7 linked regions of the Tribolium castaneum genome follow. The protein of the gene in region 1 purifies or fractionates together with the protein of each later gene. This does not show direct contact. Links are inferred from orthologs where the notes say so. Each region holds a gene or a part of one and is shown on either strand. Other genes may lie near its edges.

Evidence for each region.
Region 2: the proteins of Cdc5 (region 1) and SF2 purify together in Homo sapiens (affinity purification with mass spectrometry; 4 studies listed by BioGRID and IntAct, with this or other methods). This does not show direct contact. The link is inferred for Tribolium castaneum from reciprocal best matches to the Homo sapiens genes CDC5L and SRSF1.
Region 3: the proteins of Cdc5 (region 1) and Sf3a1 purify together in Homo sapiens (affinity purification with mass spectrometry; 3 studies listed by BioGRID and IntAct, with this or other methods). This does not show direct contact. The link is inferred for Tribolium castaneum from reciprocal best matches to the Homo sapiens genes CDC5L and SF3A1.
Region 4: the proteins of Cdc5 (region 1) and stalled ribosome sensor GCN1 purify together in Homo sapiens (affinity purification with mass spectrometry; 3 studies listed by BioGRID and IntAct, with this or other methods). This does not show direct contact. The link is inferred for Tribolium castaneum from reciprocal best matches to the Homo sapiens genes CDC5L and GCN1.
Region 5: the proteins of Cdc5 (region 1) and U2A purify together in Homo sapiens (affinity purification with mass spectrometry; 5 studies listed by BioGRID and IntAct, counting the BioPlex papers as one, with this or other methods). This does not show direct contact. The link is inferred for Tribolium castaneum from reciprocal best matches to the Homo sapiens genes CDC5L and SNRPA1.
Region 6: the proteins of Cdc5 (region 1) and RNA-binding protein cabeza purify together in Homo sapiens (affinity purification with mass spectrometry; 4 studies listed by BioGRID and IntAct, with this or other methods). This does not show direct contact. The link is inferred for Tribolium castaneum from reciprocal best matches to the Homo sapiens genes CDC5L and FUS.
Region 7: the proteins of Cdc5 (region 1) and Prp8 fractionate together in Homo sapiens (co-fractionation; 5 studies listed by BioGRID and IntAct, with this or other methods). This does not show direct contact. The link is inferred for Tribolium castaneum from reciprocal best matches to the Homo sapiens genes CDC5L and PRPF8.

Annotation. Positions count from the first base shown.
Region 1 is NC_087400.1:3,567,162-3,571,324, forward strand, and holds the start of Cdc5 (cell division cycle 5-like protein), read right to left. Parts: upstream 2,801-4,163; 5' UTR 2,596-2,800; coding exon 2,154-2,595; intron 2,010-2,153; coding exon 1,323-2,009; intron 533-1,322; coding exon 1-532. Other genes in the region: Yod1 (ubiquitin thioesterase Otu1), read left to right, coding at 3,169-3,858, 3,909-4,121.
Region 2 is NC_087401.1:8,584,845-8,588,122, forward strand, and holds the end of SF2 (serine/arginine-rich splicing factor 1A), read right to left. Parts: intron 1,863-3,278; coding exon 1,690-1,862; intron 1,641-1,689; coding exon 1,482-1,640; 3' UTR 501-1,481; downstream 1-500. Other genes in the region: Pex12 (peroxisome assembly protein 12), read left to right, coding at 1-246, 294-494. UniProt on the Homo sapiens protein: Plays a role in preventing exon skipping, ensuring the accuracy of splicing and regulating alternative splicing.
Region 3 is NC_087397.1:12,582,887-12,586,906, forward strand, and holds the start of Sf3a1 (splicing factor 3A subunit 1), read right to left. Parts: upstream 2,801-4,020; 5' UTR 2,726-2,800; coding exon 2,632-2,725; intron 2,559-2,631; coding exon 2,394-2,558; intron 1-2,393. Other genes in the region: peroxidase, read left to right, coding at 3,842-3,881. UniProt on the Homo sapiens protein: Component of the 17S U2 SnRNP complex of the spliceosome, a large ribonucleoprotein complex that removes introns from transcribed pre-mRNAs.
Region 4 is NC_087395.1:1,243,689-1,246,361, reverse strand, and holds the end of stalled ribosome sensor GCN1, read left to right. Parts: intron 1-632; coding exon 633-854; intron 855-1,878; coding exon 1,879-2,007; 3' UTR 2,008-2,173; downstream 2,174-2,673. Other genes in the region: und (methionine aminopeptidase 2), read right to left, coding at 2,229-2,481. UniProt on the Homo sapiens protein: Ribosome collision sensor that plays a key role in the RNF14-RNF25 translation quality control pathway, a pathway that takes place when a ribosome has stalled during translation, and which promotes ubiquitination and degradation of translation factors on stalled ribosomes.
Region 5 is NC_087395.1:21,925,132-21,927,936, forward strand, and holds U2A (U2 small nuclear ribonucleoprotein A'), read left to right. Parts: upstream 1-1,173; 5' UTR 1,174-1,259; coding exon 1,260-1,341; intron 1,342-1,387; coding exon 1,388-1,535; intron 1,536-1,585; coding exon 1,586-1,938; intron 1,939-1,993; coding exon 1,994-2,119; intron 2,120-2,168; coding exon 2,169-2,203; 3' UTR 2,204-2,305; downstream 2,306-2,805. UniProt on the Homo sapiens protein: Involved in pre-mRNA splicing as component of the spliceosome. Associated with sn-RNP U2, where it contributes to the binding of stem loop IV of U2 snRNA.
Region 6 is NC_087395.1:19,586,664-19,588,952, forward strand, and holds the end of RNA-binding protein cabeza, read right to left. Parts: intron 1,939-2,289; coding exon 1,820-1,938; intron 1,621-1,819; coding exon 1,350-1,620; intron 1,146-1,349; coding exon 797-1,145; intron 747-796; coding exon 701-746; 3' UTR 501-700; downstream 1-500. UniProt on the Homo sapiens protein: DNA/RNA-binding protein that plays a role in various cellular processes such as transcription regulation, RNA splicing, RNA transport, DNA repair and damage response. Binds to ssRNA containing the consensus sequence 5'-AGGUAA-3'.
Region 7 is NC_087394.1:7,714,791-7,718,290, forward strand, and holds part of Prp8 (pre-mRNA-processing-splicing factor 8), read right to left. Parts: intron 3,226-3,500; coding exon 2,972-3,225; intron 2,919-2,971; coding exon 2,311-2,918; intron 2,258-2,310; coding exon 1,931-2,257; intron 1-1,930. UniProt on the Homo sapiens protein: Plays a role in pre-mRNA splicing as core component of precatalytic, catalytic and postcatalytic spliceosomal complexes, both of the predominant U2-type spliceosome and the minor U12-type spliceosome.

The sequences.
Region 1 (4,163 bases):
TGCAGCTCGGTCAACGAATGCGACTCGTGATTCGGCCGCAAAACGGCCAAATTTACATCGTGGGGGCGCGGCAGCCCCCTTTGAATCACCTGCGACCGCAGGGCTAACTCCTGAGCCGCCCGAATTTTCGCTTCTTCAAGCGCTCGCGCATCAACATCTGCCTGATCTTCGACAATATTTGGCGTTTTTTCTTCTTCTTTTTCCTCTTCTTCCTGTTCGGGAACGACGATTTCGTAGTCGTTCTTCGGTGTCGGTAAACTACTTAAGCCTAGTCTTAGTTGTTCTTTTAAATTGTTTTGGAGCGAACGCTGTTCGGCTGGAGTTTGTGCCACCATTTCGGTGTTTTCCTCATTTATATTGAGTTTGTCACGAACTGAAGGCGTAAAACTGCCTTGGGGGCCCTGCGGTGTCATGAAACCGGGGGTTTGGGCCCCGAAAGGGGTCGCCAGGACCGTATTGGGAGTGGCTATGGTGAGGGCTTGTGGTAAAACGCCCGAAAAATCCGAGTTGTGAAGTGGCGTGTTTCGGCCCCCTTTTGAAAGAGATATACAAGGTGAGGCAAAGTTTGCAGTTTGGCGTTTTGCGACTAAACTATTAACTTTTTGGGAAAAGTTATTAGTGGATGGTACACTACTATAAAAATGGGACTTTTTTCAAAGTATAAAGTTTTTTAATTTTTTCGTTCGTTTTGAAGTTATGGTATTTTTTAGGTAGTAACCCACCTAGAAATTTTTTTATTGGTTATTAAGTTATTGAGACAAATAAAGTAATAAAAAGAAAGAACTACAAGTCATTTAATGTCAATTTCATTTTTTTATTTTTTATTTTTTTTACATATTATGAACAAGAAAATTGATATTTCATCCAATAAAGACAGATTTGGAATCTTCAAACAATTTTAAGTCACATAGGCATGCTCTTGGCAGGGTATTCAGTTATTGTGACTTAAATAGTTTTTTTATTGGTAGGTGACAAAGTAAAACTTTTAACTGTATCTCTATATTTAGCTCGTATTATAAGAAAAAAAAAATTTTTTTTTAATTTATTTGTACCTTTCTTAATTATTATTACGCACATTTTTAAAAATCAAGAACTTACAAAAGTTCTTAATTTCGGGATATTTTTGAGCAATATAGCGGGTGAGGCAAACTTTGCAATTTAGTATTTTTTGGCGAAACTATTCACTTTTTGAAAAAACAGATTGGTGGACGGTAAACTACTACAAAATTGCAATTTTTTTTCAAGAATAAAATTTTTCGATTTTTTCGCTCCTCTTCGAGTTACGTCATTATTTATTTATTTTTTTGTGATTTTTTTTTTACCTTTGAGTGGGGTATCCACATGCGTCAAAGCCATGACATTTTGCGCTTCTTGAAGTATCCGATCAGTTTGCGGTGCCGGAGTTCGGGGAGTCACCGCTGCCGCTTGTGGCGCCGCCACCGTATAATCATTGAACAACGTATCAGTCGACTCGATTCCACTCTCTGCTGCAACTTCACGTGCAACTTCACTCGCTTTACCCAACTTTACGACTTGTTGCAACTCCAGATCGCTAATTTGCGGCTCGGGAAGTACCAATTTCGAGCGTTTTTTCGCCGGTTCTTGATTCTGTAGCATCGCTTGTGGAATATCATTTTCTTTTCTTTGTTTTAATTTTTGTTTATCTTTGCGACGTTCGCGTTCTTCTTGTTCGCTTCGCAGTTCACCGTCGAGATGTTGTTGACGCATTTTGTGAAAATCGGGCGCCATTGGATCAACAATTTCGGTGGAAGTGTCGTAAAAACCAATCGCTGGACGTTTTTCGAAGGGGATTTCCTCATTGTAGTCAACACCGCGTTTTTTCTTACGACGCGAATTCACTTCGATGCCGGCAGCTCGAAGCTCGCGCCTTTTTTGCAGTGCTGCCAATCGACGCGCTTCTTCCAGCTGCTTTTCGCGCGCTTTTCGCTTCGCTTTTTTGCCCTGGGTGTTGGCAAGCCTGGCGCGCGCCTCGGACAACATCTCCAGCTCTGCAACGACAAACACGCGTGCCAACCTTTTTGCGTTATAGTATACTATACAGGGTGATTCTTTTGCGGTTTTGAAATTTTTATTGCATTTTTGAATTCGTGTTTTGAAACTGAGAAAAATGTACCCCATTTGTTAGCTCTTACCATCCTCGTCCATGTCTTTGGGGTCGGGCCTCGCAGGCTTGGTTTCCGGATTGGGGTCAATTTCCCCCGGTTTGAGCTTCCGGGGGTCGTCCGTGACATCCTCCCCTTCTTCCTTCTTCTGTGCCTGATCCAGGAGGTACTCGTAGCGCTCCAAACACTGAGCGGCCGTTCGCCCGATTATGGGGGCTATCGTGCGCCACTGAGTCGGCATTAACTTGGCCAAATGTAGCAACTTTTCGTCCTCTTCCCGCGACCATTCCGTTTTTTTAATACTGGGGTCCAACCATTCGAACCAACGCGCTTTACACTGTTTGGCCGATTTGCGGTGAAGGAGCGAGGCAATTCGAGACCACTGGTTTTTCCCATATTTCATTACCGCCGCTTTGAGGATCTCATCCTCGGTGTTGCGCCAAACGCCCCCCTTTATCATTATACGCGGCATTTTTGCACTCTTTAGTTAAAAACCTAACCTCACTTTTGACAAAAACTTAAATTTTATAACAATACCACTAAAAGCACGATAATGATGCTTGGGTCAACACTATTGAGTCACTAATTAGATAAGAAGTAATTATTTTGGGACACTAATGCAAAAAACGGCCCTTTTTAAACGGCTTGATTTTTGGTTATAAAAATGGCCGTCCTTGAGTTGGCATAACTGTTAGTCGAGAAAAAACAAAAATTGGGGATTAAAAATAATCAGAACCGTACTTAGAACGTATTAATCGTGACACGAGACTGATCTAAAACGTGATAATTTTTTCCTGTCTTGAAATAATTAAAAAAGTGTGGTTGGTATCTCGCGTCAGTCGGCGAAAGTCCCTAGCCCCCCCAAATCCCTGTGTTTATTTAACCCTTTTGAAATGTTATCTCGGTGATAAAGCGCCCAAGTGTTGCCCCCTTTCGCCCCAATCGTCTAAATTCGGGCCCCAAGCCCTTAATTTCGCCCTTAACCTCACTTCTCCTGTCACTTGTCACTCCCAACTGTCATTGTTATTAGCCCCCAGAGAGCACCATGTCGTTCGCTTTGCGCGTCAAAACCAAAACGGGGCAACAAGTGATCAAAAACCTAACACCTGAGCACACGATCAAAGATTTGAAGCGCCAGTTGTGCTCCATATCGCAGATCCCCGAGGACAGGCTCCATGTGTTGTCAGGGTTCCCCCCGAAGGCGTTCGCCTTGGGGGACGATGGTCTCGAGTTGAGTCGCAGTGGTCTCAAGTCGGGCGATACCCTGATTTTGGAGGAGAAGGCCCGGGAGACTGCGCCCCCCTTGCGGGGCCATATCAGTGAAAGTGTCGACTGTCCGGGGATTCTGATGAAGAAGGTGGTGCCGGCCGACAACTCGTGTCTTTTCAGTAGTGTTTACTTCGCCCTGAACGGGAAACTGGACGAGAGTGGCACGGCAGCCCCCTACATGAGACAAGTGATTGCCGAAACGGTGGCCAGCGACCCCGAGATGTTTTCCGAGGCGATTTTGGGGAAACCCAACCGTGAGTATTGCGCCTGGATCCAGGACGACAAGTCATGGGGGGGCGCCATCGAGTTGGCCATTCTCTCGAATCACTATGGGTTCGAAATTGCCGTCGTAGACACGATCAACGCTATTATCAACCGGTTCGGGGAAGACCAGCATTACACACTTCGAATTTTTCTAATGTTTGATGGTATACACTATGACCCCCTTTTTTTGGAATCGTCCGATGTAATTTCCTTACTCAGGGGGTTATCAAAAAATTATTTGATTCGTTTCAGGGGGCGAGTATTCAGACGATTTTTCCCACTGATGATGATAAGGTTTTACAAGAGGCGCAGGAATTAGCGCGCGAGGCGAAGTCGAGTCGACAATTCACTGATGTTAACAAATTTACGCTAAAATGCATGAATTGTAATATTTTCCTTAATGGACAATTGCAGGCAAGGGAGCATGCGCAAAGTACGGGACATACGAATTTCGGGGAAGTCTAGCACTGCCAGTGACCATTTTCTAGACTTGTTTTAGATTTTTTC
Region 2 (3,278 bases), on another chromosome or scaffold:
GCTCAATTGCCGATTCTTCAATTGATTGATGTCAAGTTGGCGTATTCGGAGCCACTTCCACCTGAGCCAAGTTTCTGGTCGCTTTTATTCAAAGGGCATTTGGCGGATTTGTGGCAATTGAATATTTTGAAAAACGCGGTTACAAGTACCTTCGAGTTTGGGGCGTTTTTCTTGCAGTTTTTGCAAGCCTGGAGCGCTCACCAGAATTATAGTGTGACGGCGCTGCCAACTGTTAAACCACCAATGGTGAGTCTAGTGATAGTGTTGGTAGTAGTGCTAATTTGATTGTTTAGCTCGATGGGAAAGCCCGAAATTATCACAATAAATGTCCGATTTGTTTACAATTTTGGAAAATACCGACTGTTCTTCCTGTTTCCGGATACGTGTTTTGCTTTCCTTGCATTTTGCGGTATTTGAGGGACAACCAGAAGTGTCCGGTTACGAATCTTCCCGCCAAACCGCTGGATATCGTTAGGATATATGATAATGAATAAAAGACGTTGTAGTTGAGAATTTTTTATTGAAATAAACATGCAATTGTGAAAACAACAAAAAGCCACACTTTTTGTCAAGCAAAATGATAAAAAAATATTAATAAAAAACGAAAAAGAAGTCTCAAATACCTGGGAACAAATCCACGAGGTCCTTCCGGTACACTCATCCTAATCCTAGTAATCCTATCCTAATCCTCAAACAGTTTTAAATCCACTTCATCGCCAAAATCCTAGGAAAAGTATTAAAATCCCCCGAAAATTACTACAATTTATTTAAAAAATCCTAATCCTAGGAGTTTGTCCTTTCCTTCCGGTGAAGTGGAGATCAAAATCCCGTGTTTGTGAGACCTATCGCATTGCAAAACATCTCGTTTAAACACTGTTTTTTCAATGAGAAACGTGTCAGTTAATTTTTTGAAATGATTGTGTTTCATTGTTAGAAAAATTGAATAACTTATTTACCGAGCCATTTAATTGTGTGGTGTCCTCTCAACACTCCGAAAAATGCAATGCTTAGTGTGTTAAAAGTTTAAATATCCTCCTCCACGATCTTTGAGACTCCCTCCTAACAACATTCATCCACTCCTCTTGCATCCGGGTGTGTCAAAGATAACATTTTATTGTCTATTATTTTACTATCGACTTTATTATTTTTTCCAAAAACCAGTCCAACGCTGATTGACTCAGCAAATTGTACGGTAACAGAAAAAAGAAACAATACATATTAGTGCCTTATCCGTACTCTAACCTAATTGAAAATTTTTATAAAATTTAAGTCTAAAAAATTACAAGAATGGAGGAGAGAAAAAAACGATTCTTCCAGGAATGTCAGAAGAATTAAAATACCCACATTTACAAATACAAATTCCAGGGTTACCAACCGCTTTTTTTCTCTTGCATTTTTTTTAAATCAATCAAATTAAAAAAATCCCCGGTTTTTTTGATACGTACATTATACAAAAAGGCCAGTCCGTAGAGTAGATTAAATTAGGAGCGAGAACGGCTTCTGGAGTAACTCCTTTTGACCGGACTGTATGTTGGGGAACCCCTCCGACGGGGCGAATATGAACGACTGCGTGACCTTCCCCCTGACCGTCTATCACTCCCCCCACGATCTTCCTTCACCCTTATGTACGAAACCTCCCCCTGACGCCAAATTAAAACACAAATCCCTCAACAACCAAACAACTCTTACCTCATGTGACCTAAACCTCGAATCGTCCAATTTCTTTATAGCATATTTCATGTCTTCGTATCGGAGAAACTCCACAACGCCTGAACCGTCCTTGAACGCGTCCGCGAAGCACACGTCTCCAGCCTCCCGCATGTGGTCCTTCAAGTCCTGCCACGAGCCCGACGGTGGCAACCCTGCAAAAATTCAATTGTAAATATTTTGATGTAAGCCTATGTAAAAAGATCCGGGGAATCGATTGGTGTCGATAAAATCACCACATTCCCAATAGTTTTTAAGTTACGATTTTTTTCATCTTAAAAGACTTCGTTTTTTTTTAATTCAAATATATGCATTTATTTTGTAGTATAATCTCTATTTAGTTCAACGCACTTAGTGCAATGTGTTTCTAGTTTTTTAATCCCATCCCTGAAGTGACTTTCTGGTAGTTCTGCAAAATACTTATTTATAGTCGCTATTACCTCCTCATTCGAGTGATAATTTCTCCTAATCACATTTTTTTTTTAATTGTGGAAGTCTGGGGAAGTCAAATCAGGCGAATATAAAGAATGTTCTAATAATTCATGTTTTTAATTCGTCAATTTTTCCATTGCCAGAGCGCCTTTGCGACACCCTTTCACACACTATTTTTTCGTATCTAATTCTTGGTGCAAAATAAACTACACCCTTTTCTCAGATATCCCTATCACCTTAGCTACCTCATACACTTTCATTCGCTGATTATCCAATATCGAAATTTGCATTTTTTTGAGGTTTTTATCCGTGGTTACTGTTTTGGTCATCCTTCACAAAACTCATCATTGAGAGATGTGCGACCAAGTTTGAATTCAGCTGGCCATTTTTATAGTAGAATATGAAGAGGTTGACTTGAATAAACTTAATAAGATTACGTCTAATACTTCCGGAGTTATTGCCCGATATGCAGGCTGTTCTGTTTTTATTGTTACAAATTTGTATAATAGGTAATAGAACATTTATTTTTAATCATAAATTTCCTATAAACATGTAGGTTTTCCTCAATATTTCAGAAACCGTTTCAGATAAAAATACAAAATTTGGTACAATTGATAACCTTCATACGCCTAATCGAATTTAAGGATCAAATGTAGGAATTTTTAATGAGAGGTGTCCCAAACTAGGGGCACCGTGTGGTCAGATACGAAATATCGACTAAGCTAAAGCTTAGTATTGGTTTAACTAACCGGTCGATGTTGGCCGCTTAAGCATTGGCTTATCGCTTAACATTTTTAATATTAACGTTATTAATATACATAACTTTATAATTTTATTGAAATCGTTAACAGATAAATTAAAGAAACCGAAGTAGCAATTTTAAACGCAAAAAAAATATGGTCAATTTTGTTCAAAATTATAAAAAAGATACTTGATTACGTTCGGTGAAAAAAATGGAACATGGGCCCAAATTGCTCGAAGATTTAATACAACAAAAGACACCCGTAGAGAGGCTGCTAATTACGAAAAATATATGACAATTAAAAAAATCATAAAATACGCAGACCAACAATGTTAGAAAAAACAGACTCATGAAGCGCCATATAGCCCATATACTACTTACTTTCACAAATGTGGAA
Region 3 (4,020 bases), on another chromosome or scaffold:
TTATTCCAAGTGTTAAGTATTAAATTTCTGAATCTGAAACATCAAAATCTGTTTTTGAATCAGACTCACTTAGAGAAATAATAAATGGAGAAATATTTGCAATGTGTTTTGTCCAATCTGAAGCAATTAATTATTCCCAGTGTTTACAGAAATTTTGCCACATTTCGGGTGTACATTTTATGAGTGATTCCGACCATAGATTTGCAACTTTATTTCTGTCCAAAGGTTGCTCATTTGTATGTTTATTATAATAGTTCTTAGAAAACCCCTATGCCAATGAATTGCGTTATACTAGCGATGATATGGGGGTAATCAAAGAACTTCATGTCCATGGTCATTTAAAACTTTATCTATTACGTACTGTTTTTAATTATTTGCTTTTAAAGGTTTTATTAAATCCTACAACTGATTTTTAGTGAAGTATTAAATCAAATTCTATATGATGATTAATCAACCATACCTACATTTTACCCTTGGTAGAAGACGACGTGGGCATTTTTTCCAATTGCATCGAGTGACACGGAGCACTATCCATTATCACAACAGATTTAAATGGTAGTTTTGCTAAAGCAGGAATTAATTGGTTAATCACCCATGTTTGAAATATTTCTCCATTCATAGTTTTGTGATAGCCTCTGTCATTATTCGCCACATCCATTAAAAGGTCACATCCTTCCAAAAAAGCAAACCGACATCCCGCATATAATATAGTGAACCTTTTGTCTTCACTTTTAATTTTTGAAGGATTGCTTTTTAGGTCTTCTTCGTGAACCCACCGTCGAACATTGCTGCCATTTTGATAAATCCACCTTTCATCCAAATATACAAAAATAAAATTTTTAGTGTTTTAGAGTTTTGGTACTGAAGAAATTTTCGTAAAAAAACAATTTTTGATATCAGAACATGTTTTTGTTCACAAAGATTTTTCTTCTATTAACTAAACGAAATCTGTAACTCATATTTTTTAAAATTCTGTATGAAGTTGTTCGCCCTCCTTCAAACTCCAAATTTTCTTTTGATTCTGTTAGTAATGTGTCTAAAGTAAAATATTGATTTTTTTAATTATATTTCGAAGTAGGTATATTTAATTTCAGTTCATAGTAGAATTGCATTTTTCAACAGCGGATGTGAGTATTTTGGAGTAAAAATTAAGCCCAAATTGAGTTTCTGTATAAGAAAAGAATTCACACTTTGAGCTAAGAAAACCCACCAGAAACTCTCATGTTAAAAAATGCATATGCGCTGTTAAAAAATTCTACTATGAACTGAAATGGGATATACTACTATGGAGAAGTATCTGCTAATAACAGGAAGTGCCTACTTTTAACTATAGTCTTTTGTTCCCGAAAGTAAAGTATTTACTTAAAAAAGTAGCATTTACTTCACCCATGTCTTTACTCCACTGGACTGTAGTATTAGCATCTACTTCATTTTTATTTATACCACCCAATGATTTGTTTGGCATTCTGAAGTCCAGAGCAATGTCATACGTGTAGTTTTCACAAAATTTCAAAAAAAAAGATCCTTAATGAAAACCACATTAAACTTGAATAATTGTTGGTATTTTCATGGAGTTTAGAGAAAAGATAAGACAGCTTAACTGTTTATTTACAAAGTTAAAGTTACGTCTCGGAAACGCCTTCAGACCTTGGCTACATAATACTACGAAAATACCAACAATGATAAAAAAGGAGAATAATTTTTTTTTATAATTGAACTTGAATGTTTTTCGCAGAAAAATGATGAATGAAACGATTTGTCTTGAACGGTAAACTAAAAGGTTTTTTTTGCATAAAAACAGTAATTCCACTTTACATTCACATTATAAACAAGTGTTCAAAATTAGTTAATGTTTGAAAAACTTTATTAATCCGGCGTTACTCAGGTGAGTTTTTAGGACACCAATACTAAGGTGGGGTGTGACACACACATCAAAGAATGTGTTTGTTATTCTGAAACTATACCAAAGCATTTTACACTCGATTTTACATAAAGTCCAATATTTCAAAAAAGTCAAATCTTTACCTAGTTTTATAGAGCAAAATTTTTGGTAAAAAGTAGTAACGTAAGTAAGTGGGGTGTAACAAACCCCAGAGCCATAAAATCGGCTACAACACACATATTATAACAGCCAGGTGAAAATTATATTATATTATATGAAAATCATATATTACATCATATTCGAAATGTTTTTGCAATCTACTGAAAGGTGCATACATATAACATTCCTATCTAAAAAACCAAAGCATTTTTTTACTCTGGGGTCTGTCACACCCCAACTGAGTAACGCCGGGTTAAAGAACAAATATTCTTCAGTGTGACCAACCTAATAAAAGAACCATAGGTCTACTTTAACCTGATCAACTCGATTAATATATTTTTATGTTCCTTACCTTTCCCCTCTCGAAAATCGTTGACTTTGTGCTGATAATACGCATGGTAGGGGTCACCAGGATTCAGGAAATTAAATTTCGGATTCCCTAATTCGTTCTGTCTGATCCTGGCCTCAAATTCTGGCCCGTTTCTGGCCACAAAACTGGCTGTTTTATCGACGATATCTTAGCAAATTGTCAGGAAAAATACAATCTAACCTGAATTTTCCGACAAATCTGAAATTTTCACAAAGGATACTTCTCACCTCTGGTGGTGGATAAATAATACCCACCACTGGATTTATCGGTCCGGGATCGTCCGGATTTGGATTATTTGCTTCCAAAACCGGCATTTTCACTATTTTTTCTTACAATAAGCTAAATAAACACGCTAACAAACGCTTGCTCAACGTAAAATGAAGAGAGAGATGGCAATAAAAAATAAAATTGATGAATACTCCAAACCACTAGAGGCGCCACAAGCGGTCTTTACAGAATTCTATACCAACATTTTACGCGTGTAAACTGTTTTTATATTTTTTACTTTTGTAGTTATTTCTTATATTTTTTACAAATATTATGTATTATTATTATGTATTATAATATTATGTATTACGTTAATATCTATATTACAACTAACGCTTGTGGTTGCGGATCAAAAAGAACGATTAATGAAACCTAATTTATAGATTTGAAACAGCTTATATCTCATTTCAACTCATAGTAGAATTTTGCATTTGCATTTTTTGGAGTGAAGTAGAGCTCAAATTGAAAGTTTCTGGGTTCTTGGCTCAAAATTTGTTACTGAGATTTAGCTTAACATATATTTTTTTCTTATAAAGAAACTTTCAATATGTGCTTTATTTCACTCCAAAAAATCCAAATGCGCTGTTGCAGAATTCTGCGATAAACTGAAATAAAATATATTAGCTGTTTCAAAACTAAAAAAACGCTAACGTCGCATTTTTTTTTGAATTAGGTGTTATAAATTATTCATGTAGTTCAAAAAAATAATAGATAATGTAATTTATACTTGGGAAAGCTAATCAATAATAATTATTTTACATTTTTATTAATCTTATTTAAAAAAATTATTTAGTAAAATGCGACGTTGGTGTTTTTATAGTTTTAAAACAGCTAATAATTTATATTCAACATAGTATTTAACATTTTAGCGAACCTTGAAAAAACGTTGTACCTATAACTTCTGATAGTTTTCAGCTTCAACAGATCAATATTTAGTTCAATAAATTAAAAAACATAATAAAAGTAAAAAAATATAAAAATTTATGTTTAAACATTTGAGCTAAATTACTCTACACCGTTAGAGGACGCTTCAAAACAGACAGATAATTGACAGAAGAATTTGACAGTACGTTTGTGGTTTATGCTGCCCTCTTTTACCAACGCTTCCAAGTTGGGAGTTGTGCGTTGGTAAGGTTGATAACCTGTGGTTTGTTATTGTTTATATGCGGGAAAATTTCATTTTTAATCGAATTTTTCCAATGGGTGAGTTAATTATTTGATTTTTGATTATTTTGTGTTGGATTAGTGTGAGTTTGTGTTATAAGATTGATACCGGAAGGCCGCTTTCCTTCCGTTTTGTTTGAAACTGCGACGGAAATTTCCACAGTCGCATCGGCCTGGT
Region 4 (2,673 bases), on another chromosome or scaffold:
AAATACAATCAATTTCGGTGTAATTTGACAATTTTTCAACCAAAACTTATTGAAAATGTTTTGCTTTTTGTTAAACATTCAAAAAAAACATTTAGTCTTTGGCCTGTTTTTAACAAATTTCTGTGGTAAATATCAGCATTTTTCCTGAAAAGTTGTTAAAAGGAATTTATTTAGGACATTTTGTGAAAATAAGAAAATTTCAAGAGTTAGATTACGTCAAAATAGCGAAAAACTCGACAAATTCGGTATTTTTTTTCCTACAACAATGATATTTGTATTAAAGTTCTGGTTTAATAGTTATTTACGTAATCAGTTATGAAAAATCGATTTTGTTTGACGAGGATAATGTTTGCCAAAACGAGTGAGCGCAGCGAACAGGTTTCACAAATTAGGTAAGTTAAACTGTAAGCGGCTTTTAATAACGTACAAAATTCTTCCTAATTACGTCGTAAATTAAAATTTTATTCCCGCAATTTTATTTAAATAAAGAAAAAAAACCCTAAACAAGTTAGAAAATGGTCCAAAAATGACCAAATGTAAGCAACTTTTGGTACGGTTTGTAATTAATAAGGCATTTTATAAAAAAAATTGGTCAAAAGTTTTGCGGCATTAAACAAAATAAAAAATTACAGACAATGAACAACAATAACAACGATGTAAAACAACTCTTGGCTCGAGTTTGCATCCATTTGGCTAAAACCGTACCACAGGAGAAGATGTCTTCAGATTTGTTGAAGCTGCTTTTACCAACGTTAGTCAACGGAACTAAAGAGAAAAATGGTTATGTTAAGGCAAACTCAGAACTTGCATTGATTGCGGTTTTGAGGCTAAAAGATGGCGACGCTATGCAACAGGTAAATCTTCATTTTAAATGATTTTGTCTAAGATTTTACCGTTTAAAAATTGAATAATCTGGCTCCTGGCGACCCATTTTTGGACACAATTTACAAAAAAGGCGCATAATATCACTGAATTTCTATAAATTAGTCTATACTAGAGTTCCTTTATTGGGAGAGTTGGGACACTGAACGTCAAACCGAGCCAATTTTGTATTATGTGGATAAGGTATTCGGAAGTAAAATTACCGTTGGGGGCGCCACTGAGCTAGGTCGAAAACAGTAACCATAAATGGCGGGAAAATGTTTATTCGAATATTTTGAGCGTTGTACGAATTTTGGGGCTTCACAATTATTACATTGCCTATGCGGAATGATTATTGCATCTTTGATGCAAGAAACTTATGTTGACAAATGAGAGATGACGAGGAAAACACGAATAACGAATGACTGTTTGGTTCACTTTCTTTATTGGAAAATTATTACAAAGACATTGAAAAGCCTACCTTTTGGCATAATTTACGTTTAAATGTATCAGCAGTTGTTAATCTTTATTGTAGTTTTGTAGATTTACCGCAGCATTTCATGATTTTTTCAGTGGAAAATTCTAACCTAAAATTCACACACTTCACTAATTTATTGATTTCTTGGGCCAAAGTTTGTGTTCGCTGTGATCCATTACTTATAATCTTTAATTAGAGAACTGTTTGATAACACTTTGTAATTAAAATTTAAATATTTTTCACTTTTTATCCACTTTCAATTTCCAACAATAAACACTTTATACCACGAAAAACTACAGAACCAAAGTCAACGCTAGTATTTACCACTACGTACTTTAAAAGTGATAATTTCTATTCTAAGTAATTAACACTATACACGCAAAATTGTTGAACAATTCATTAAATTCAATTAAATGTGGAATTACGAAAATTTCTTTACTGTTTTCGACATAGTTCAAATGTCATCACCAGAGGGAGTCTAGTTAATTTTATTTCTGAATAGGAACTCTAGTCTATACTTGATTTATTTGTCTTTTTAGCGATGTCTGAGTATTCTGGACGTCGGCGCTCGCGAATCCCTCGCTGACGTCGTCAGTAAAGTCCTCAAAAAGATAATGTCGCAGCCTGAGGGAAAGGAAGAGGAGCTCGACGACACTTTACTGACTTGATTATTAGGGTCACGCAACGGAGCAAACAACACGTTGATTTGTTGTATCCCTGCGTTTTTGATCATTTCCGGTGTTCGTTTCTTCATTTTGTTCCCTTTGAGTTTTAATATATACGATTTTGTAAATTTTGTTTTAAATACAATAATAATAAATGAGAAAAAAAATCGTTTTATTTATTTACAATAAATTGTAAACAAAATGACAAACATTTACAAAAACAATTAATAATCGTCACCACGTGACACCACTTCTTTGCAGGTTGGACGAAGCATGATGGTGTGTTCGAATTGAGCTGTGTAACAACCCTTGATGTCACATAGAGGTGGGTATGCGTCTACGACACCTTTGTCACATAAATCCTTCAAAGCCATTTGGTATTTGGTCGCGCCTGCGCGGTCCAACCATCGCTTACAGAACGCCAATGTTCCGAAGTTCTTGTTTATAATGTTTAGAAGGGTTTTTGACGATTGGAGACTGAAAATTGCAAACAATGTTAAAATTAACAAAAATAATTGTTTAATATTATTATTCTTGTGTGTTTATTGAGACAATTTCAACAGGTTAATGAAATTAAAGATATGGTAATTTCTCTACGTTTCGCTCATTTTTTTAGCTTCTTCAGGACAGTACTGTCAAGGGCGTTGGAAATATAGCAAGAAATTACTT
Region 5 (2,805 bases), on another chromosome or scaffold:
AACTCAGGGGAAGTCCTTGCCTAAGGACTGCCGACCGGAAGCGAGCGCAGCCTTCTCACATATTTTCGGTAACGACCGCAGGCTGCATTTCCATAATTATTTAATAAAGTGGGATATTTATAGACGCTGTGTATGCAGCGCTGCTAAATTAGGCGATTTGCAGTACTGTTCCGAAGACACTCGCACTTTTATTCCAATTAGCATAAGTAAACAAGGCAACAATTGCATTCTTTCAGGTGGGTGGCATTATACAATTATTACACATTGCGTATTTAAAGTGGGTCCTTCAGAAATTTGTGATGTGAGAAACCTTTCCCTCAAGTACAATTCGGCTCACAATTAATTATCATCAGGTGGTAATAAATCTTATCGCGAAACGCGCATTCTTCAAGTCTCATTAGCTCGGAAAAGTCACAAGGAAATTTTCTTCCAGATTAAGAATGGAACGAGTTTTATCACTCATCGGCGCGTAATTGGTGTAAGTTCAATGGAAATAAACCCGTTCGGTTTGGATAAACATTTGTGACGTCAATGAATAATTTGGCTCTTGTTTTTTGCTCTAAGGGGAAGTGAAGAAGACAATGGCTTGATTCGTTTCACGAAATCATTTTTTGATTAATTAATGACGATGCGGGGAATCCGACAGATAATAATACTTCAAACGTACATTCCACACATTCATTGTGTTTTTCTTATTGTTTAGCAACTTTTTTTAGCCAGAATTAGCATATTTGTGACCAACACAAATCGCTGAAATAAGTGTTGGCAGACGTGTTTTTGTATATAGTGAAGCCTTTGAATCCGAGCCATTTTTGTTTGGGGTTTTCCCGATTATGAAATTAATTTTTTCTTACCTAATTAAAATAAATAAATAACTGAAGCAGGACTTTTTATTACAAAATACAATAATGTAACATACGGAGTATATTATCAAATTATCATTATCAGCTGTTAACAGTTAAAAGTAAGTTTGTTTTTCGGGTTAGAAGGGGTTCGGATTAACGACGTTTTCCTGTATTTTTTCATATTTAGATTCCATGTTTTGATACAAAAATTAAATTATTAATTATTTGGTCCCAATGATTGATATTTATTGCTTCATCTTAATTTTGGAAATTTTTGGAAATTCAGGGAAATTGCGTTTGGGGCGCTCTCTACAGGTATTCGTGTAACAATTACAGAAACCTGTAACGGTAGTCGGTGAAATTGATGGCTTGTGCGTTGTTTGTTTAATTGTAATTTTTCGCTAAAACCTAATTATGGTGAAGCTAACAGCCGAGCTGATTCAAAATTCCATGCAATACATAAATCCGGTAAAAGACCGCGAGTTGGACTTACGAGGTGAGGACCAAATGTAAAAAAGTTGGGTTAAGTCATCTTTTTTTAGGTTATCGCATCCCCGAAGTGGAAAATCTGGGGGCCACCGGTGACCAGTTCGACACAATTGACTTTTCGGACAATGATGTGCGCAAGTTGGATGGTTTTCCGTACTTGAAGCGGTTGAAATGTTTGCTTTTTAACAATAACCGTATTGTGTAAGTTGTGGGGTTTTTTCGTTTTTTTTTTTTGAGTTTTGGGGTTTTAGACGCATTGGGGAGCATTTGGAGGAGTACATTCCTAATTTGGAGACGCTGATTTTGACTGGGAACCACTTGGAAGAGCTGGGTGATATTGAGCCGTTGTGCACTTTGGAGAAGCTCACCACAGTTAGTCTTTTACATAACCCTATCACTTCCAAGCAGCATTACAGGCTATACCTAATTTATAAGTTACCGCAGTTAAGGTTGCTCGATTTTCGTAAAGTCACAGCTAAGGAACGGGAAGAGGCGAGGGCTCTGTTTAAGAGTAAGAAAGGCAAGGAGATTAGGAAAGAAATTGGGAAAAGGGCAAAGACGTTTATTCCCGGAGGTACAGGTAACAGTATTGCCAAAAGTAAAGGTACGTCTTACATTTTCTGTGAGTTTTATTTTTTCAATTTAATTATTTTTTCAAGGCCTTACAGACGAAGAAATTGCGAAAATTCGTGAAGCTATCAATAAGGCCAGTTCTTTGGAAGAGGTTGAACGGTTACAGAAGATTTTACAGTCTGGTCAAATTCCTGGTCAAGAAGAAATGAACGGTTAATTTTTTCTATGATTTATTGTGGGAAATGTAATATTTTTTTTCAGGATATCAAAATGGACAAAGTATGGAATATGAATAAGTTTGAGGTAATTTTCAGTCAGGTGTACAATTAATTAGTTTTATTTATAAGTTCCGGTTGATAAGAGTATTGTACTACACTAAATACAAGGTTGAGAAGCGAGCGGAATTAATTTTTCATTTTTTCTAATAAAGCAATACGTACAATAACTGGGTATTATTTCAATCTTTCCCGACTGAAACAATGCCTTTCTGGCAAGATTTATCTGTTTCAGAAATTAATTGAACGAAATAAGCTAACAACAAATTTTGTTTTGCAGCTAATTTTTCGAAGAAAATTAGTTTTTAGTTTTCACAGCGAGCAAAAGTAATGTTAATTACAGAAATAAACCAGTTTTTTAAATTTTGCGGATTTTAAATTTGTCTGTAAACATGTAAAAAATAAAAAATTGTTTTTATCTCAAAACCGTCTTGCGAATACTTTTTAGTGGCTACTCGTGTCATTTTAAGAGCGCCTTGGAAATTGTGTCTAAAGTGACCGAAATACTTTTCAAAGTGTGTGGTAATAGTGGTTTTAGAATATTTCAAAGTTCAAATAAATTTTTTCATTTCAGAATGTTTTAGTTGATTTGGAATTATTTCTATAACAATTCGCGTCACTTA
Region 6 (2,289 bases), on another chromosome or scaffold:
ACTATCAGACTAAGTTTCTTGAATATAAAATTTCTCAAAAAAATCACAATTTGTTGATGTGCCAACACTGGAAATTATTTCCTAGGAAACCGTTCCAAAAATACTTATTTTATTGTTGATCAAAATCTATTGCGATCACGACTGTTAGACAGCGTATTGGCCGTTTCAAAATTATAAAAACGCCAACGTCGTATTTTCTCTCAAAATTAGCTGTTATAAATTATTCATGCATTTCAAAAAAATAATAGCTAATGTTAATTTATACCTTCAATGAGAGATCTAATCCCCAATAACCATTTTACAATGTTGTGAATCTTATTTAAAGAAATAATTCGGTAAAATGCGACGTTGGCGTTTTTATAATCTTGAAACAGTTAATCGCCAGATACCATTTATTAAAAATTCGTTATTGTGAAGTTTTGAAGAAAAAAGTTGTTTATGAGTTATTTTTTGACTTTGCAGGAAAATGGAATTAGGAAAGGTCATACTATAACAAAAAGTAATTTGTACTTAAAAATGTATTATACATAAAATAATTATTCACTAAACATGCCATACTCGTGACCACTCAACTTCTCGTGTTGTGTAATTACTAGAAAACACAAAGCTTTAAATCTTATAGATCACCTTATAAAAACTGAAATGAATATGATACTGTAATGGAAATAAAACACTCATGAATCTATTTGGAAAAAATCTTCTAATACGGCCTGGAACGTCCTCCATCGCGACCGCCGCCACGATCCCTAAACATCAAAATTAAAATCTTTCCTACACCAAATTTTGTCACAAATACCTTCCGCCTCCTCCTCGACCGCCGCCGAAACCGCCTCGGCCTCCTCTTCCACCGCCAAATCCGCGACCTCCTCGATCACCACCGCGGAAACCGCCGCCACCACCTCTTCTATCTCTTCCACGGTCACGGTCTCTACCGCCTCCGCCGCCGCCTCCTCTGCGATCTTCACCCCCGGAACCGGCACCTTCCGGCTTATCTTCACTGCATCTATTGCACTGATTCCTCCAAGCAAAATTTGTGTTGCCACAGTCTGGGTTTGGACATTTCCAGTCTCCTTCGCGGCTTTCGCGGTCTCGGCCACCGCCACCACCGCCGCCGCCGCTACCGCCTCCACCACCACCGCCGAAACCTATACCAAACAATTATTGTTTGCCAATCAAATAAAAAAAATGTTTCCCTAGACAGGATACATCAGAAGCAACCAAACTGCTACTGTGTGTTTAATGGGGAATTAATCTGCCCCTTAAAATAAAAACAGATTTTGGCCTATTTTAGACAAATCTGGGTCGGAAGGGGTATTAATTTCTTTTAAAAAAATTGCAAACTCACGTACCTCCATCTCGGCCTCTTGGGCCTCCTCCAAAACCGCCCCCGCGGCCGCCACCTCTTCCACCTCCGCGGCCGCCACCGCCACTCCAATTATCCTTTTTCGTGGCCAACTGTACCCTTATTTGAGTACCACCGAATTCTTTCCCGTCGAACCAAGAAATTGCTGATTGAGCTGCATTGGAATCGTCATACGTAACAGTGGCTTCACCCTTTGAAAGTCCGGTCTGTTTATCTTTATACAACCAAATCTTCCGTTTCTGGGTTTTCTTGTCCATCTAATCGGAACGAAATAATCATTTCAAATTTGTCAAAAATGGAATTCTTTGTAGCAGATTGAATACACTTGTTTGCAAATATTTCTTGCAATCAAGGAATAGCATCTGTCATAATATTGCGACACATCAAAATTGAACTTGGTCAAGAAAGTGAATCCAAGCACAGAGTGCAGGTCGCTGAGTTTAGTCAAATACTTACTTTAATCACGCCAATCGAACCAAAATGTTGAGCAATTTCGTCTTCGGTGAGATTTGGATTCATTCCAGACACAAAAATCGTGTCGACTTGAACCACCAAGTTACTGCCGCCGCCATTATCTGGAAATTAATACGAAAATGATGTCAAGGGTGAAAAATAATAATTTTACTAAAATTAATTGTTGCGCCAACTAACTCAGTTCTCAAAAACTGTTTCACATCTTATGGTGTGTAAAAACAATACTATATACCTTTTCTCTTACTCTCTCACTCTGAATAAACCTTAAACTTGACCATAACGCACCTTGAAATAAATACCAATTTTTTAATTTAAGACCATTGCGTTTTTGATGCCATTTTACCACGCAATGAAGAAAAAAACCTTCTACAAAAAATAAAGTATGCACTTAGCGCTCAAACGGACAGCATTAAAAGTACTCCTCAATCGAAATTTGTCAAATACGTATCACA
Region 7 (3,500 bases), on another chromosome or scaffold:
AGTTTTTATTTTCTAAGTGGCTTATCTTTTTAAACAAAACAGTAATAAATAAAGAGTTGATATTAATTTAAACATCCATAAAATAACAATTTGTTATTTGATTAATAATTTTCCCAAAATCGTTATAAATAATTGTGAATACTTTAAAAACAACAAAAATATGTTAAAGGTCCTAGATGTATTTACTCATAACAGAAGTATTATGAATGATTATTTTATGTAAACAGGTAATACAGAGAAAGTGTATGACAAAAATGAAAAATAGTAAGATTATGAACAAGACAGAAAATTATGTTAAGTAACAATTTTACTATAACACCAAAATTAAAAAAAAATAATTATTATCAAAAAGAGAACACCGTTCTTGTGAAACTAAACTTGATATAGGTTTAACAATTTGTATTTTGTCGTAAGCTTTGAAAAAATAATTTTTGAAATAATTTCAAATTTGAAAGCTCTTGATCTTGCGCACGTCTAGAATTCTTTAGCATTATTATTATTATTTTCATTGAACGAACTTTGTTTCAAACTAATCTTTTTACTCATTGCAAAAGTTAAAAAGCAAATTAGAAAATGATATTTTGGAACGATATTGACAGATTTTGCATAAAGTTAAATCAAATCAAAATGTAAGCAAACGTTGACAATTACCGTGACATTATATTATTATAATTATATTATGTAACCAAAAAATGTAATTTTTCAATGTGTTTTTATTTTTCTACAAGATGGAAGAGCATGTGAAACAACAAATAAAAAATAGTATGGAGAACATAACATAAACTGTTTCAAATAGTTCGTATCTAATAAGTAAATATTATCAAAACTTTGGAACGAAATGAATAACCATTTATAAAATCATTCAATAGGAACAAGACAAGATTTATGCACCATTTTACTCCTGAATTTTGTTGAGACCTAGTAAAAACTATCCCGACCAAGGTTCAAGTAATCAGGAAAGGAAAGGAGACGTAACTTAATATTAAATCTGTAAAACAGTTTTCTGTCCGAACATTAATACCCTGTAGAGTAAAATTTAATAAAGATTTTTTTTTCAGTTTTTCTAAAACATTATTGGTCAAATAACTAACTGGCGATTTATTTATCGTTAATGAAATCAACCCCTAATATTTTTTTCAACTTAATTTGTCAAAAAATGGCAGCATTATTTATTTATTATGGTCTGTCCAATTAAACTAACTAAACTAACTAAATAGTTATACAAAGTGTTGGAATTTAATAGAATTTTAAAACACAAAGAGACATTATAAAACGAAGTGTGTCTTGGTTTTTATAACTTCGATGAAATTTTAATCAACAGAATAGTTGTAAAACATATTTTACATCTTGTAAAAAAATAATGTCTCCCACAACTGTTTATCTAAAGAAAACCTTAAGCTTCTCTAAACTGCTTGTACTGAAGTTATTTTATGTTTTTTAACTCTTCTGATACAAAATATATTTTTTTTACATTATACAAAATTGAAATGAACAAAAATGCATGCCACATGTGTTATGTAATTGAATAAACCCCAATATTTTCATTAAAAACTTGATTTAGACACGCCGCAAGATTGTTTAATAACCTTTTAACTAGCTTAAAAAACAGTTCGAAACTAAAGTAAATCAAACGCCTGGAACACTACATGTTGTCTCTGTTGAGATCACTTTATAACCGATTTCAACCAGTCTATTACCGATTTTTTTTTTGGAACCAAAGCCAAGTTTTGTGTTAAAGCGGATTGTAATTGTTAAGAAATTTGTTAACTAGTATATTAAAATAAATTTCATTCCTAAAAACCTTCATTTAATTTCTAAATGTTAGCTATTGTAATGTTCATTGTATGCAGTTATGTTTTTAATTTCTATTTTTTATAGCAAAACACTGTCCGTATATTTAATTGAAAAAAAATGAACAAAGGAAACTTACTTTCCAAGGAATATTGGCCTTCCAACACCGCCACGCTTCGGACAAATGCTGCAAAATGGTCCTGGCTTTATTCTGTTTGATACCTTCAGGCATCATATCGACAATATCGTGCATAACTGAAGCTCTTAACTCAAGATCGAAGTGAGACTCAACCCTTTGCTTGGTCACAGTTTTAGCAACACCTTTGGAGTGTCTGCCTTCAAACTGCCGTGACAGTAAATTGCCGAGCCAACGTTCAAGCAGAGGTGTAATTCCCCTCATAAAGAACAACCAAACCCTCCAACCTGGAGCCCAAAATCCACAACCTGGACCTTTCCCAACTGGACCCTGTATAAAAATAATTTCTAACTTCCGATTTATAAAATTTCACAAACTCTTACCGTATTGAAACGATAATATACCAAATGTTTCAAATCTTTACACATTCTGATTTGTCTCATCAACTTGTATTTGTATCTGTACATGCCAGTCAATTGACCGACATGGGCAAAAATGTACTGCAAACCATCAGCCAGTTGAAACGCATCAACGTTGTTAAGTCTGTATTGAACGTGTGAGTCTATTATGAGTTTAGTCAAACGTAGAATTTCCCTACACAGATGGAAAGCATTCCCAAATCTGGATTTTTTACGTTCTTTTGTCGTCAAAGTCTTGACAGGTTTCAAATTAAAGTTGTAGTCCAAATGAAGATAATTGAGATTTTTCCGGTGAATGAGCAAGTTGAGCATGTTGTAACCTTGCCTACAAACTTGCAAACCAGCTTCAACCCAGTCAAGTGTAGTAGTTTGGAAAAATTTGGTGGATTTGAATGAACGGAACAAGTAGCGTTTTTTCTGTGCTTTAGGAGGCCGGTGTTTAAGCGCGTTAAGAACATAGTATTTTAACAATTTCTGGTAACTAACGCGCACTTTAACCGGTTGTCCAGGAGGACAATGTTCCATGTACCATGTTTTGACCAATGGTACATCAATGGCCCGGCGACAACGTCCTACAAGTATTAAAATAAATTTTTTCTCTACGTTTAAATAAAATAATGAATACCTGAACGCAAGTTAAATGGACGAGGAGCCCATAACAGGGCAATACCGTTAGCTGTGTTATCTGTATAAAGTGGTGTTTCTTGCAAAAAGGGTTGCACATGTTCTGGTAAAATGTATTCTTCGTCGTCTTCGGGTAGAGGTTCCAAACTTTTGACGGCATGTCGGTGCGAGATTGGGTTTATTAACGGGTCAAAATAAAAGGCTGGGAGATCGGGATCTTCTGTCTTAATGTAAACCACATTTGGGGCGTGATACCTACAAAAAATAACCTATTTCAACAACTAGTAAATTGAATTTTTTATAAAATAGTAATATGATAAAGCCCTTGCTTTACGTATTTTTTTTCTAATGTCAAACATTGTTAAGTCTTCCGCAAACTACAAGAAAAAACAATTTTAATTTATAATAATTTTAATATTAAGAACAAAAGACTTTCTAATGTTCTATTATAAAAATAAAGTCCGTGCATTTTTACACTGTGCTTTAATTGAATTTTTCAAAAATGTTAAATTTCTGATTAGCTCTTTAAC